Linked DNA regions of Struthio camelus. The protein of the gene in region 3 interacts with the protein of the main gene of each other region in a pairwise test. Links are inferred from orthologs where the notes say so. Each region holds a gene or a part of one and is shown on either strand. Other genes may lie near its edges.

Region 1 (3,745 bases), about 10 Mb from region 3:
GTGGGACTCCCATCCCCTGGTAGCTCCAGGCTTAGGAAAGCCCACTCTTCTCTTTTGGAGCAGTTGACGATTTAGATCAGTGCAACTACTGTAAGGAGAGAACCAAGCTTCCTTATTACGAACCTTTGCATATATTTACATGAAGAAAACATCATTAATGAGACTTTCAAATCATTCTCAGCTATTGAAATCACCTAAACCGCCAGTATTAATGAGACATGCAAATAAAGTCATAACAACTCGGACAAATTCTGAATGAACTCACCATCAGGGGTGAATATAAAAATTCAAATCATTCCGTCTGAACAACAATGCAATCTTTCTCATGTGCCTAGAATGAGCTCTCATCAAAGCTGCCTGTTTGCATCTGAACAGATCCAGGCTGTTTCCATCAGGCAGGGCCTGAACAACCTTGAATTTGCACCGCCAAAGTAATCACGGTAGGATGGTAACAAATGGGTATTGATCTCTTCCAAAGGGAGCTCTAGAAACGTCTGCCTGACACTACCTCAACGTTTTGTTCTTCAGGGATAAAACCGGGTGGGGATAAGGAATCTGAATTTCTGCAAGGTGAGCAAGACTTGTTGTTGTGCATCAAAAGCACATGCCCACCCAGGTAGTCCAGCAGGCCTTTTAGGAGGGCAGCCAGTGTCAGCCGTATGCAGCACAGCTGGAAGAGCCCCTCTTCTAGAGATATCTGGCATTTGCTGTCAAAATGAAGGCTCTTCCGTTTTCTTACCACCGCTTACAAGTTGACTTTTGCTTAGAAGCACAAGGGTTTATAGCCCTTCTCAATCCCACTAATACCCTCCGTGTAGATGCTGGATTTCTGTTACCCACGTTGGATTTGGTTTCAAATGTTGCGAACTTACTTTTTTTCAGTGAAACCCCTCCACTAGTGAACGACCCCATGCCAACCTGTTCCCTGGACCTTGGGCTAGCTAATTTATTTTTTCTTTTACCTTTTTTTTTTTTTTTTGGAGTGAGAGAGCGGCTCACTCCAAAAAATCCCAAAATCACTAGAGACCCTAACTCTGCCATATAAATGTTTTATTCAAGCCAACTCCTGCGCCCAAACTCGGCGACTGAAGCCACACGCGGCACGTGCTGCCGCGGCGCTTCATTGACGAAAAACACCTTAAAACAACCCGTCCCTGCCGTCATTCCCGCCCAGCACATGCAGCAAATCCAAACGAGGAACAACAAGGAGGCGTCTGGGCCTGGATCCCTGCCAAAGCCTAAAATTTTAGGCCTCACACAGCAAAAAGCCCCGCCCCCTCTCGGCCCCGCCCCCTCTGCCCCGCCCCCTCGGCCCTGCCTCTCCACCAGGCCTGGCCTGGCCCATGGCTCCGCCCCCTCACCCACCCCTCTGGCCTGAAGCCACGCCCCTTCCCCTGCCGCCGTTCCTATTGGCTCCCCCCTCGAGGCTCCTCCCCTTCTCCGGCCTCCGCCTATCTTTCTTAAAGGACTTAGGGAAGGGGGGGGGGGGTGGAATGATTGTTTCGCGGCCGCGGGCTGCGCCGGCACCTTTGGAAGAGCGCTCCTTCCGGTAAGGGCAGGCCGCCCCAAGCCGGCTTCTGAGCCTGTTCCGCCCTCACAGGAGAAGAGCGGGCGGGGATTGGTTCGGAGGGTGGTGGTTGGGAGGGGGGAATATCACGTGGGAGCCACGGCGGATTCGTAACATCCGGGGTAGGAGCCGCCAGTTTCCGGCTGTTGCCGTTCGGCCGGCGCCTCCTCCGAGCGGCGGGGCCCGGGGTCCTGGCGGCGGCCGGGCCGCGGCTGCCCCCGCCCCCGCCTCCTCGGCGCCCCTGGGGCTGGGCCCCTTTAGCCGGGCACCGAGGGGTTCCCCCCCGCCCCGGCCAACCGCCTCCGGGGCCCCCCTAACCGCCCCCAGGTTCGCCTCACCGCCGCCTGCAGCCCCCCCGGGCTCCCCTCAGGCACCGAGGGGCCCCCTGCGCCGCCATTTCCTGCGTCTCCCTCTGTCAGGCATCGAGAGGGCTCCTCTGAGCGCCTCAGCCCGTCCTCCGGCAGGTGCTGGGCACCCCCCCCCCCCCCCCCGGATCCCCTTGAGTCAGGGGCTTGTGCCGGAGCTGAGCTCTTCCCTCCCTGAAACGGGGGGTTGTGACACCCACCCCTCATCTCTAGCGCCCCCTCCTCACCTAGTTGCCCTGCTCTGACATTTCTCCTCCTTAGCTGCTCTCTCCCTTCTGCCTCGCCACCTCCCTCCTTTCCTTCCTCTTCTCCCATCTAATCTTTGCATCATCCCCCAGCTGTGATAGGGATAGGGGTGGCTGTCCCCAGCGCGGGAGCTGGGCTCACCCCTTGGGTTATGAGCCTGACTGTCTTTGGGATCTTACAGGGCTGTCTGCCAGTTACATACTGTCCCAGGATTGTCCCACATTCTCCATCCTGGCCCTGCTGGTGCTTCCTCTCCCAGCTAGCTTTAGGCAAAGGCCTCCCCAGGCCTGTTATCTTCACTAGGAAGCATGGAGTTTGCGGAGCTAATCAAGACCCCTCGAGTTGATAATGTCGTACTGCACCGCCCTTTCTACCCTGCCGTGGAGGGGACTCTGTGTTTGACTGGCCATCACCTCATTCTTTCTTCGCGGCGCCAAGATGACGCTGAGGAACTGTGGCTGCTGCACTCCAATATTGACTCTATTGAAAAAAGGTATGTGTCCTAATTCTCTCTGTCTTCCTGTACCCAATTGTTCATTTTATTATGGGATGAAAAGTGGTTGTCAGGACTGGTTCACACTGCAGCTTCCCAAAATCCAGGTCTAGAGAGGAGAGTAGCCTAGTCAACTAGAGCGTGAGGTGGAATATTGTCATGGACTAACTGATTCTCATTCAGTTTGGAAACTGTTATGTGACTGTTGCATCTTAAGATTTTTTTTCCTTCTGTCATGTCTTCTGTGTTTAAATTTCTTGTATCAATAGTATTTTTAGTTAATAGTACAATGTATTTCATCAGCAGCTCTTAAAACACTTTATAAAGGATGCATCATTATCACAGTTTGTCAGAGGTGGAAGCTGAAGTTCTCATTAAGTGATTTGCTGAGGGTCACACAGCAAAATTGGAGCAGACTTCTGGCTCTGCCATGAGATCTTCTCGGTCCCAGATCAGCCCTACTGCTAGATTGTAGGAGTAAGAGGTTGATACTGCTTATGAAAATCAATAACACTTTAGCAGCATGCACCTTGTCAGAGTGATGTGGCTAACGTGAGTTGTGACTGCTGCACTTGAGTGTCACACTATTCTTGCCCATCCCCTTGTATCACAGGGGCTTCAGCGATGAATCTTCCAAGCCTTTCCTGGGTTGCTGATGTCATCTCTGCTGACTGTATTCTGCTTGTTTATCTTAATCCTTTGCTCAGTTTGGTCATAACCGTTTTTGCTACAAAGTCAAACCCTGTTTTCCTTGCCCTTTAAAGTAGTTTGGAAGAATAGATTTCCTCCTTGGCAGTAAGACAGAAAAATCTAGCAGCAGTGGTTAAATTATCAGGCTTCCTCAGAATCTAAGAATAGTAAAAGTATCAGACACTGATTAAGTTTGTTCCTGTGCTGCAGTTTTCTCTTAGTGTTTCTGAAAAATCATGCCACTTAGCCAGAGGGAGGAGAGGAGCAGAATGGTGGGAGGCTCTGAAAATCTATTGCCATCCTACGCCGCTCAGTTATCAGGGCGGTTTGGTGTTGTCCTCTTCACTGCCTATACTAAACTAGCCACAGCTGTATTTTGAATAT
Region 2 (3,745 bases), on a different chromosome or scaffold from region 3:
AACTCTGAACAAAACATATTCTGAGTCTGCTCAAGTTTTCACATCTGTAAGACAGTGAGCAAAGTTCAGACACACCTGTACATTCCTCATCTGAGGAGCACATAACTCAAAGGAGATCAGAGGAACTCCAGAACGTTATAACAACAGGCAATTCTAGATATTGTGCAGTTTTGCCTGGAAGGAGTCTGGATTAATCAGACAGTGCACAGTGCTGGTGGTCTTGTTCCCATATATTTCAAAGGCAGCATTACGAATCCAATAGACCTTTGTGAACATTTCTGCTAAGGTCAAAGATCCCTAGAAGTCATCCATAGACATCCAAGAAAAATATTAATTTTGCAAACTCAGTCAGGATTTCCACAGGCTCCCTCTTGCACATGGAGTCCTTTGTTGTATATAAGCTTTGCAATTTATTCCTAACTTACTCTATGATGATTTTCCTTTGCTAAATTATAAGCATTTGCACAGAAATAAGTCTTGCTCAACCGCCATAAAACACTAGACAGCCATTAACTTTTTTATTTTTTTCAGATGAGGTAAAGGATTATTAATTTTCTTTCATAAGTAGAAGCTAGAAACCTGTAAACTGGGAGGGACCTGACCACAGCTTTACAAGGAATCTGTGGCAGACTTGGGATTGGAGCTCGTCTCCACACAACTCCTAATGCCAAACACTGCCACTGATCCAGTCAGTATCCATGAACCCACAAGACAAAAATGTAATATTTAAGTAAGATCTTACTAAAAATCAAACACACTGTCAGGATAACATTAGCACTACTGTTTTTTGCACACGATGTTATGACAACTCACCCCGTTCAAACACCTTCTGAACGAAAAAGAGCTCAGAAGGCTCACAGAGGATCCTAAGGTACTTTCCAAAGACGAGGCTTCACAGTTACCACCTCCCACAATGTAGCCTCACTTAGTCCAGCAGAATTTTCACCTGTCAGAAAGCAAATTTTCTGTGGTTTTAAAAATGAATACATAATTAAAAAACTCTGCAAGATCGCAGCCCTCAAGATACTGTGTTTTCCAGTGTTCCTGCTTTCCCCGTGCTAGATGAAATTCTACAGGGATTTCAGAAACACCCAGCACCCTCTTTGTCCTCTCTTGCTTCCTTTTCTTGCCCCACTTGCTGTATTCACAGGACTCAAAACTCTTCAGCACATTCCATTTGCACTCAGTATAAATAAATAGAAGGGTAAAAACTTTGGGGAGCTTGGACCACAGCCAGCTTGCCTGGGTAACTGGATTTTTTGTGGAGCATGAAGGGTGTTTTTTAAAAGGAGGAAAGAAAAAGAGAACAGCTTAAGAATCTTGGCTCAGCCTGGGAATATTTCCTCCTAACTCTCTGGCTAAACCTCAGCACAAACGACTGGACTGAGGAGTCTATGTAAAGCCGAGGAGGGAGTCTGCAGCACTCTCCACAAGGACTACAACAGAGCTTGGAGAGTTTGAAACCATGCTTTTCGTTTGCATGCTGGCTTTTACTTTAGTCCTGCAGAAGCAAGGTCTTTTAGGTAAGTGACTCCAAGCTTGTAAAGCAGAAACTGCAGCGTATCTGATCTTCTGGTGAAAGAATTTGCGTGGAATTTGGCGGGGGGCGGGAGGGGAGTTAAGAACTGCTTATTTGATAGATTTGATCTGAAGATGACACAGGCATGTTCCAAAATTCTGTGCAAACAATGTTTTTTAACCGGGAAAAACTCCCATTTTCTGCTATTAAAGTCCATCCCGGAGGCATAGTGCTTCCCTAGAGATTTTCCACTACTCATGGGAGACACTATCACTTTATTTGCAGAAATTTAAAACCACATTCATATACTGCATCCAGTGCCCTGCATTCCCATAACACTGTTACTGGGAAGTTTAATAAGATGCACACTAATCCACTCAGAACTGAGAACAATGTTCAAGGTGAATAAAGAGAGGTCCTCCTATATTCAAACCCTTCTTTTTAGATTTGCTGGTAACAGCATTGTATATTTTTATCTTCTGCTTTTGGTTTACTTATTCCTGAGATTTCCAGGACCATAACTCTTTACTCAAATCCCTTGGCGACAAGCAGTATAAATACACAAAATCTGATAAGCTGGCATCTGAATTTTACTGCCGTTAACAAAGAATCTAGTGCTAGGTTAACCTCTGATCATATTGTTGTTGATGGTGTGACTGAAAGCTATTTTCAGTTTGGCTAGTTCAAGGGTTTATAGTCCCCATGTAATCACAAACCTGGTTTGCTGCGTGTTTGTATTGTGCATTTTCTACTAGCTGAGGCTGAGCATTATTTTCCCTCTGCTCTTACTTCTGCACAACACGTAATGTTTGCATGTCAGTGCAGGGTGGTAAGTTTCCATTACCACCAAAACATTTCCTGAAAACCACTAGTCCATTCTGTTGCCCAGGCTCCGGTCGCTCTTGCTTTCTCCCTCTCTGTCCCATGCAACTGGCTTTGTTAATACCTATCAGTGATGAACTGAAACAGCAATCCAAGCACAGGCACTGTATGTTTTCACTCTATAAATACTCATTATCCACCTGCAAATTTTGCAACGTACAAAGAACGCTGGAAGAACGTTTTTGTTTATTCCCCAGAAGTATGATTTTGTTTAAACGCAGATCATTAGTAAATTCCGGTGAAACCTAACCAAATAAAACATTATGTGAATAACAACTAAAGTAGGGACCCACCCAGTATTATGCCAGGTGGCAGCTACCTAGTTAAGAAAATATATTCACTGTTTCACTGGAGCATCCAAACACTCCCTGCCTCAATGAGCAGAGCGTTTCCTTGGAAGGTGAGACTCCATGGTCCATATCCTTTCTTTAAGTCAGGGAGAGGGAGGATCTGAACTTGTTTCTGTCCTAGCCAGCTGAGTATCCTGGCTGGTTGACATAGGCATCCCCCACTTGCTCTTTGCTACTTTTGAGGTGGGGAATCTAACTTTTGATTTTAATACAGATCCTCCCCACCCCCACTCCCCCAGTGACTCATTCACCGTCTCTTCCTGTTTTTCTATTTGGCAACAGTTCCTCTTGAATAAAAATATTTTGGGCTTGGCCAAAGAAGAATTATGTTTTCAGTCAGCCATTAATATGAACAATCTTATATCCATCGAGCTCAACCTTCAGACATCTCAGTAAGGGTGAGATGCTGGAACGGGAGCCATTTGGGACACAATCGCATCCTCCTGCTTAACCGGTTGCACTGCTTTATTGTTTGTTCTTGTTGCCGGGTTAGTTTGTGGGGTGCTGCTGCTGCTAAAACGTAGCGTAAAACATGGCCTGGGGTACTGGAGCATTCAAACCCTGCCCCATTTAAACAGCTTTCCATTCTTACCAAATGTTCCAGGCAAATTTTTCCCAAAGGTACAGCTTCGCAACAGCAGAGTTTGTGTTGGATGTTTTTGCACGGCACAGAGGTGAGCTGGAGTCCTGGCAATCAGGGGAACAACCTGGGCCCCTCTGACATGCTCCTCTTAGATGAGCAAACCAAACACAGTGGGGGGAGAGCAACAGGAGAGCTAAGGCATGTGTTGCTGCTCAATACAGTCTTTAGAATGTGATTTGTTTTTAAACAGCAGAAGCGTCATTTGGTTTCAATTATAAGTAAACCAATTGTAAGTTAATGTTTTTGCTTCATCCAGCTAACATATTATGCCTGTTCAGGATATTCTGGATCCTCTGATATTCACATGCAATGTCCTAAGCTATGTAGATCTGTACGGCTTTGGAGTGAAAG
Region 3 (3,745 bases):
GGGGCACGGCGGGGGCACGGTGGGAGCACAGCGGGGGCAGAGCAGGGGCACAGTGGGGGGCACGGCAGGGGCACAGTAAGGTGCACAGCGGGGTGCACGGTGGGGGAACGGTGGGGCACACAGCGCGGGCACGGCAAGGGGCATGGTGGGTGCACAGCGGGGGCATGGTGGGGGGCACAGCGGGGGCACGGCAAGGGGGCATGGCGGGGGCACAGTAGGGTGCACAGCGGGGGCATGGCAGGGGCACAGTGGGTGCACGGTGGGGGGCACAGCGGGGGCACGGCAAGGGGCACGGTGGGTGCACAGTGGGGGGCACGGCGGGGAGCACAGCGGGGCGCACAGCGGGGGCACGGCGGGGGCAATGCAGGGGGCACGGCGGGGGGGCACAGCTGGGGCACGGTAGGGTGCACGGCGGGGGCACAGCGGGGGCACGGTGGGGGCACAGCGGGGGGGCACGGCAGGGGTACGGCGGGGGCACGGCGGGGGGGCACGGCGGGGGGCACGGCGGGGGCACAGCAGGGTGCACCGCAGGGGGGCATGACAGGGTGCACGGCGGGGGCATGGCGGGGGGGCATGGCAGGGTGCATGGCGGGGGCACAGCGGGGGTACGGCGGGGGGGCGTGGCAGGGTGCACGGTGGGGGCACAGTAGGGTGCACAGCGGGGGCACAGTGGGGGTATGGCAGGGTGCACGGCGGGGGCACGGCGGGGGCATGGCGGGGGGGCACGGCGGGGGAACGGCAGGGGCACGGCAGGGGCACGGCGGGGGGGCACAGCAGGGTGCACGGCGGGGGCACGGCGGGGGCACAGCAGGGTGCACGGCGGGGGGCACAGCAGGGTGCACGGTGGGGGCACGGCGGGGGCACAGCAGGGGCACGGCGGGGGGGTACGGCAGGGGCACGGCGGACCGGGAGCCCCGCCGGGGACGGCCACCCCGCCGCGTGGCTGCGAGGGGAAGCCGGGCGCGGGGCCGTGGGGTGCTGGGGGATGCCCGGGCTGCGCGCCCCACGGCCTGCCCCACTGCCGCCCCGGCTGCAACCGCAGGGGCCTCGGCCAAACCCTGTGCTGCGAGCCCGGCCGAGGGGGCCGGGGCCGGGGAGCGGGGCGTCCCGGCGCCCCCCCGCCGGCCCGTTCCCGTCAGCCCGGCTGGTTCCCCCTCAGGCCCCCGGCCGGATTCCAGCTCCTTCCCCGGGGGCCTCCGGGAATTCCTGCGGCGGACGCCCCCTCCCTCCCTCCCTCGCCCGCCGGCCCCCCGGCCCGGCGCCCCGCGGCGAGCGGGGCAGCCGTGGGGCGGGCTGCGGGGTCCGGGCAGCCCTCCACCCCCCCGCCCCAGCCCTCGGGGCGCCCCCCACTCCAAGCCCCTCCATGCACACACCTTTCCTTAAAACTCCTCCTGCCCAGACCCCCCCCCCGTCCCCCCACAATGTGCACCCCGTCCCCAACCCCCCCCCGCCCAGTGCACCCTCGAGGCTGGGCTCCTCCTCGTGCACCCCGTTCCCCAAACCCCGCCACGTGCACCCCGTCCCCGACCCCCCTCCATGTGCACCCCGTCCCCATCTCCCACCCGGTGCACCCTCGAGGCTGGGCTCCTCCTCGTGCACCCCGTCCCTGACGCCCCATGTGCACCCCTCCCCAGCCCCCAGTGCACCCCGTCCCCAGCCCCCCTGCATGCCCCCCGCTCTCAGGACCCCCCTGACACCCACCCGCCCTACCGCCTGCGGCCCCAGCCCCTCCACGCTTGGCAGCCGGGGTGGCAGCTCGGCTCGCAGCCCCGTGTCGGCACCGGGGCCCCCGCCGGGCCCAGCTCAGCCCCACGCCATGCCGCCCGGGCCCCAGGGCCCCCAGCACCCCGCGGGTGGCCCCAGGCACGGGTCCTGCACCCTGGCCCTGCTGGCGGGGCCCTGAGCAGGACGCAGCACGTGCCGGCGTCCGGCTGGTCCCGGGCACCCCACGGTGTTGGGGCAGGCGACGCCGCCCGGACGCCTGGGCTCGCCTCCCTGGCGTAGTGTGGCATGGCGTGGCGCTGCATGGCACGGCACGGTGCAGGATGGCATGCCACGGTGCAGCACGGCACGGCACGCTGCAGCACAGCACTGCACGGCGCGGTGCAGCACGGCACGGCACGATGCAGCATGGCACTGCATGGCACGGTGCAGCACGGCACGGCATGGTGCAGCATGGCACTGCATGGCACGGTGCAGCACGGCACGGCACGATGTGGCACGGCACGATGCAGCACGGCGCAGCACGGCACGGCGCAGGGCGCGGCGCAGCACGGCACGATGCAGCACGGCACGATGCAGCACGGCGCAGCACGGCACCATGCAGCGCGGCACGGCGCAGCGTGGCACAGCGTGGCGGTCGCGTCTCCTACCTGTGCCGGCTGGCGGCCCGGGCGCCGCCGTGGGCCGCGGCGGGGCCCTGCGGGGCCGTGGCCTGGACGGGGCTCAGCGGGGCGGCCCCCCCGGTGTAGAGGCTGTACCTGGGGGGGAAGTTGGCGGCCAGGGCCTGGGCGGCCAGGAGGCACGGCCAGAGCCAGGGGGCCATGCTGGCCAGCGCGGACGGCACGGCGGGCGCAGCCCTGCTCAGGAGCGCATGGCGCGTCCCGTCGCGGCTCCGTCCCTCCCGGCTGGGCTCTGCCCTCCCCTCGGCCGCGCCTCGGCCGGCCCCTCGCCGCCAGAGCCGCCCCGGCGCTGCCCGCCCGCCCGACGGGGTCCCCGGGGCCCCCCGCTTCCTGCCCGCCGCGGCCCCCTCCCCGCCCCGCCCGCGCCGCCCCCGCCTCTGCCCCGGCCTGGGCTGCCCCCCCCCCCCCCCCCCCCCCCGGCCGCCGCCGCCGCCGCCGCCGCGCACATCTGCTTCTCGTTAGGCCGGGACGCCAGCGAGGACGGCGAAGGAGGGACGGGGAAAGCCAGAGAGGCCGGGCAGGGGGCCAGGGCTGCACAGCCGCCAGCGCGGCCGCTGCTACTGCGCGGGGTCCCTGGCACCCCTTGCTGCACCCCCGGCTCCTGCCCGGCCCCCGGCTCCTGCCCGGCCCCCGGCTCCTGCACGGCCCCCGGCTCCTGCACAGCACCCGGCTCCTGCACAGCACCCTGCTCCTGCCCAGCACCCGGCTCCTGCACAGCACCCTGCTCCTGCACGGCCCCCGGCTCCTGCACGGCCCCCGGCTCCTGCCCGGCACCCTGCTCCTGCACAGCACCCTGCTCCTGCCCAGCACCCTGCTCCTGCCCAGCACCCTGCTCCTGCACGGCCCCCTGCTCCTGCACGGCCCCCTGCTCCTGCACGGCCCCCGGCTCCTGCCCAGCACCCTGCTCCTGCCCGGCCCCCTGCTCCTGCACGGCCCCCGGCTCCTGCACGGCCCCCTGCTCCTGCCCAGCACCCTGCTCCTGCCCGGCCCCCGGCTCCTGCACGGCCCCCTGCTCCTGCACGGCCCCCGGCTCCTGCCCGGCCCCCGGCTCCTGCACGGCCCCCTGCTCCTGCCCAGCACCCTGCTCCTGCACAGCACCCTGCTCCTGCACAGCACCCTGCTCCTGCACGGCCCCCGGCTCCTGCACGGCCCCCTGCTCCTGCACGGCCCCCTGCTCCTGCACAGCACCCTGCTCCTGCACGGCCCCCTGCTCCTGCCCAGCACCCTGCTCCTGCACGGCCCCCTGCTCCTGCCCAGCACCCTGCTCCTGCCCGGCCCCCGGCTCCTGCACGGCCCCCTGCTCCTGCACGGCCCCCGGCTCCTGCCCGGCCCCCGGCTCCTGC

What was found.
Region 1: the proteins of EMILIN1 (region 3) and MTMR9 interact in binary tests that used the Homo sapiens proteins (3 or more experiments, as listed by UniProt). The link is inferred for Struthio camelus from reciprocal best matches to the Homo sapiens genes EMILIN1 and MTMR9.
Region 2: the proteins of EMILIN1 (region 3) and PLAC9 interact in binary tests that used the Homo sapiens proteins (3 or more experiments, as listed by UniProt). The two-hybrid records come from large-scale screens. The link is inferred for Struthio camelus from reciprocal best matches to the Homo sapiens genes EMILIN1 and PLAC9.

Annotation. Positions count from the first base shown.
Region 1 is NC_090944.1:10,873,087-10,876,831, forward strand, and holds the start of MTMR9 (myotubularin-related protein 9), read left to right. Parts: upstream 1-1,456; 5' UTR 1,457-1,549; intron 1,550-1,852; exon of another isoform or gene 1,853-2,359; 5' UTR 2,360-2,486; coding exon 2,487-2,671; intron 2,672-3,745. UniProt on the Homo sapiens protein: Acts as an adapter for myotubularin-related phosphatases. Increases lipid phosphatase MTMR6 catalytic activity, specifically towards phosphatidylinositol 3,5-bisphosphate and MTMR6 binding affinity for phosphorylated phosphatidylinositols.
Region 2 is NC_090948.1:30,382,585-30,386,329, reverse strand, and holds the start of PLAC9 (placenta-specific protein 9), read left to right. Parts: upstream 1-1,057; 5' UTR 1,058-1,465; coding exon 1,466-1,523; intron 1,524-3,745.
Region 3 is NC_090944.1:900,996-904,740, forward strand, and holds the start of EMILIN1 (EMILIN-1), read right to left. Parts: upstream 2,686-3,745; 5' UTR 2,546-2,685; coding exon 2,373-2,545; intron 1-2,372. UniProt on the Homo sapiens protein: Involved in elastic and collagen fibers formation. It is required for EFEMP2 deposition into the extracellular matrix, and collagen network assembly and cross-linking via protein-lysine 6-oxidase/LOX activity.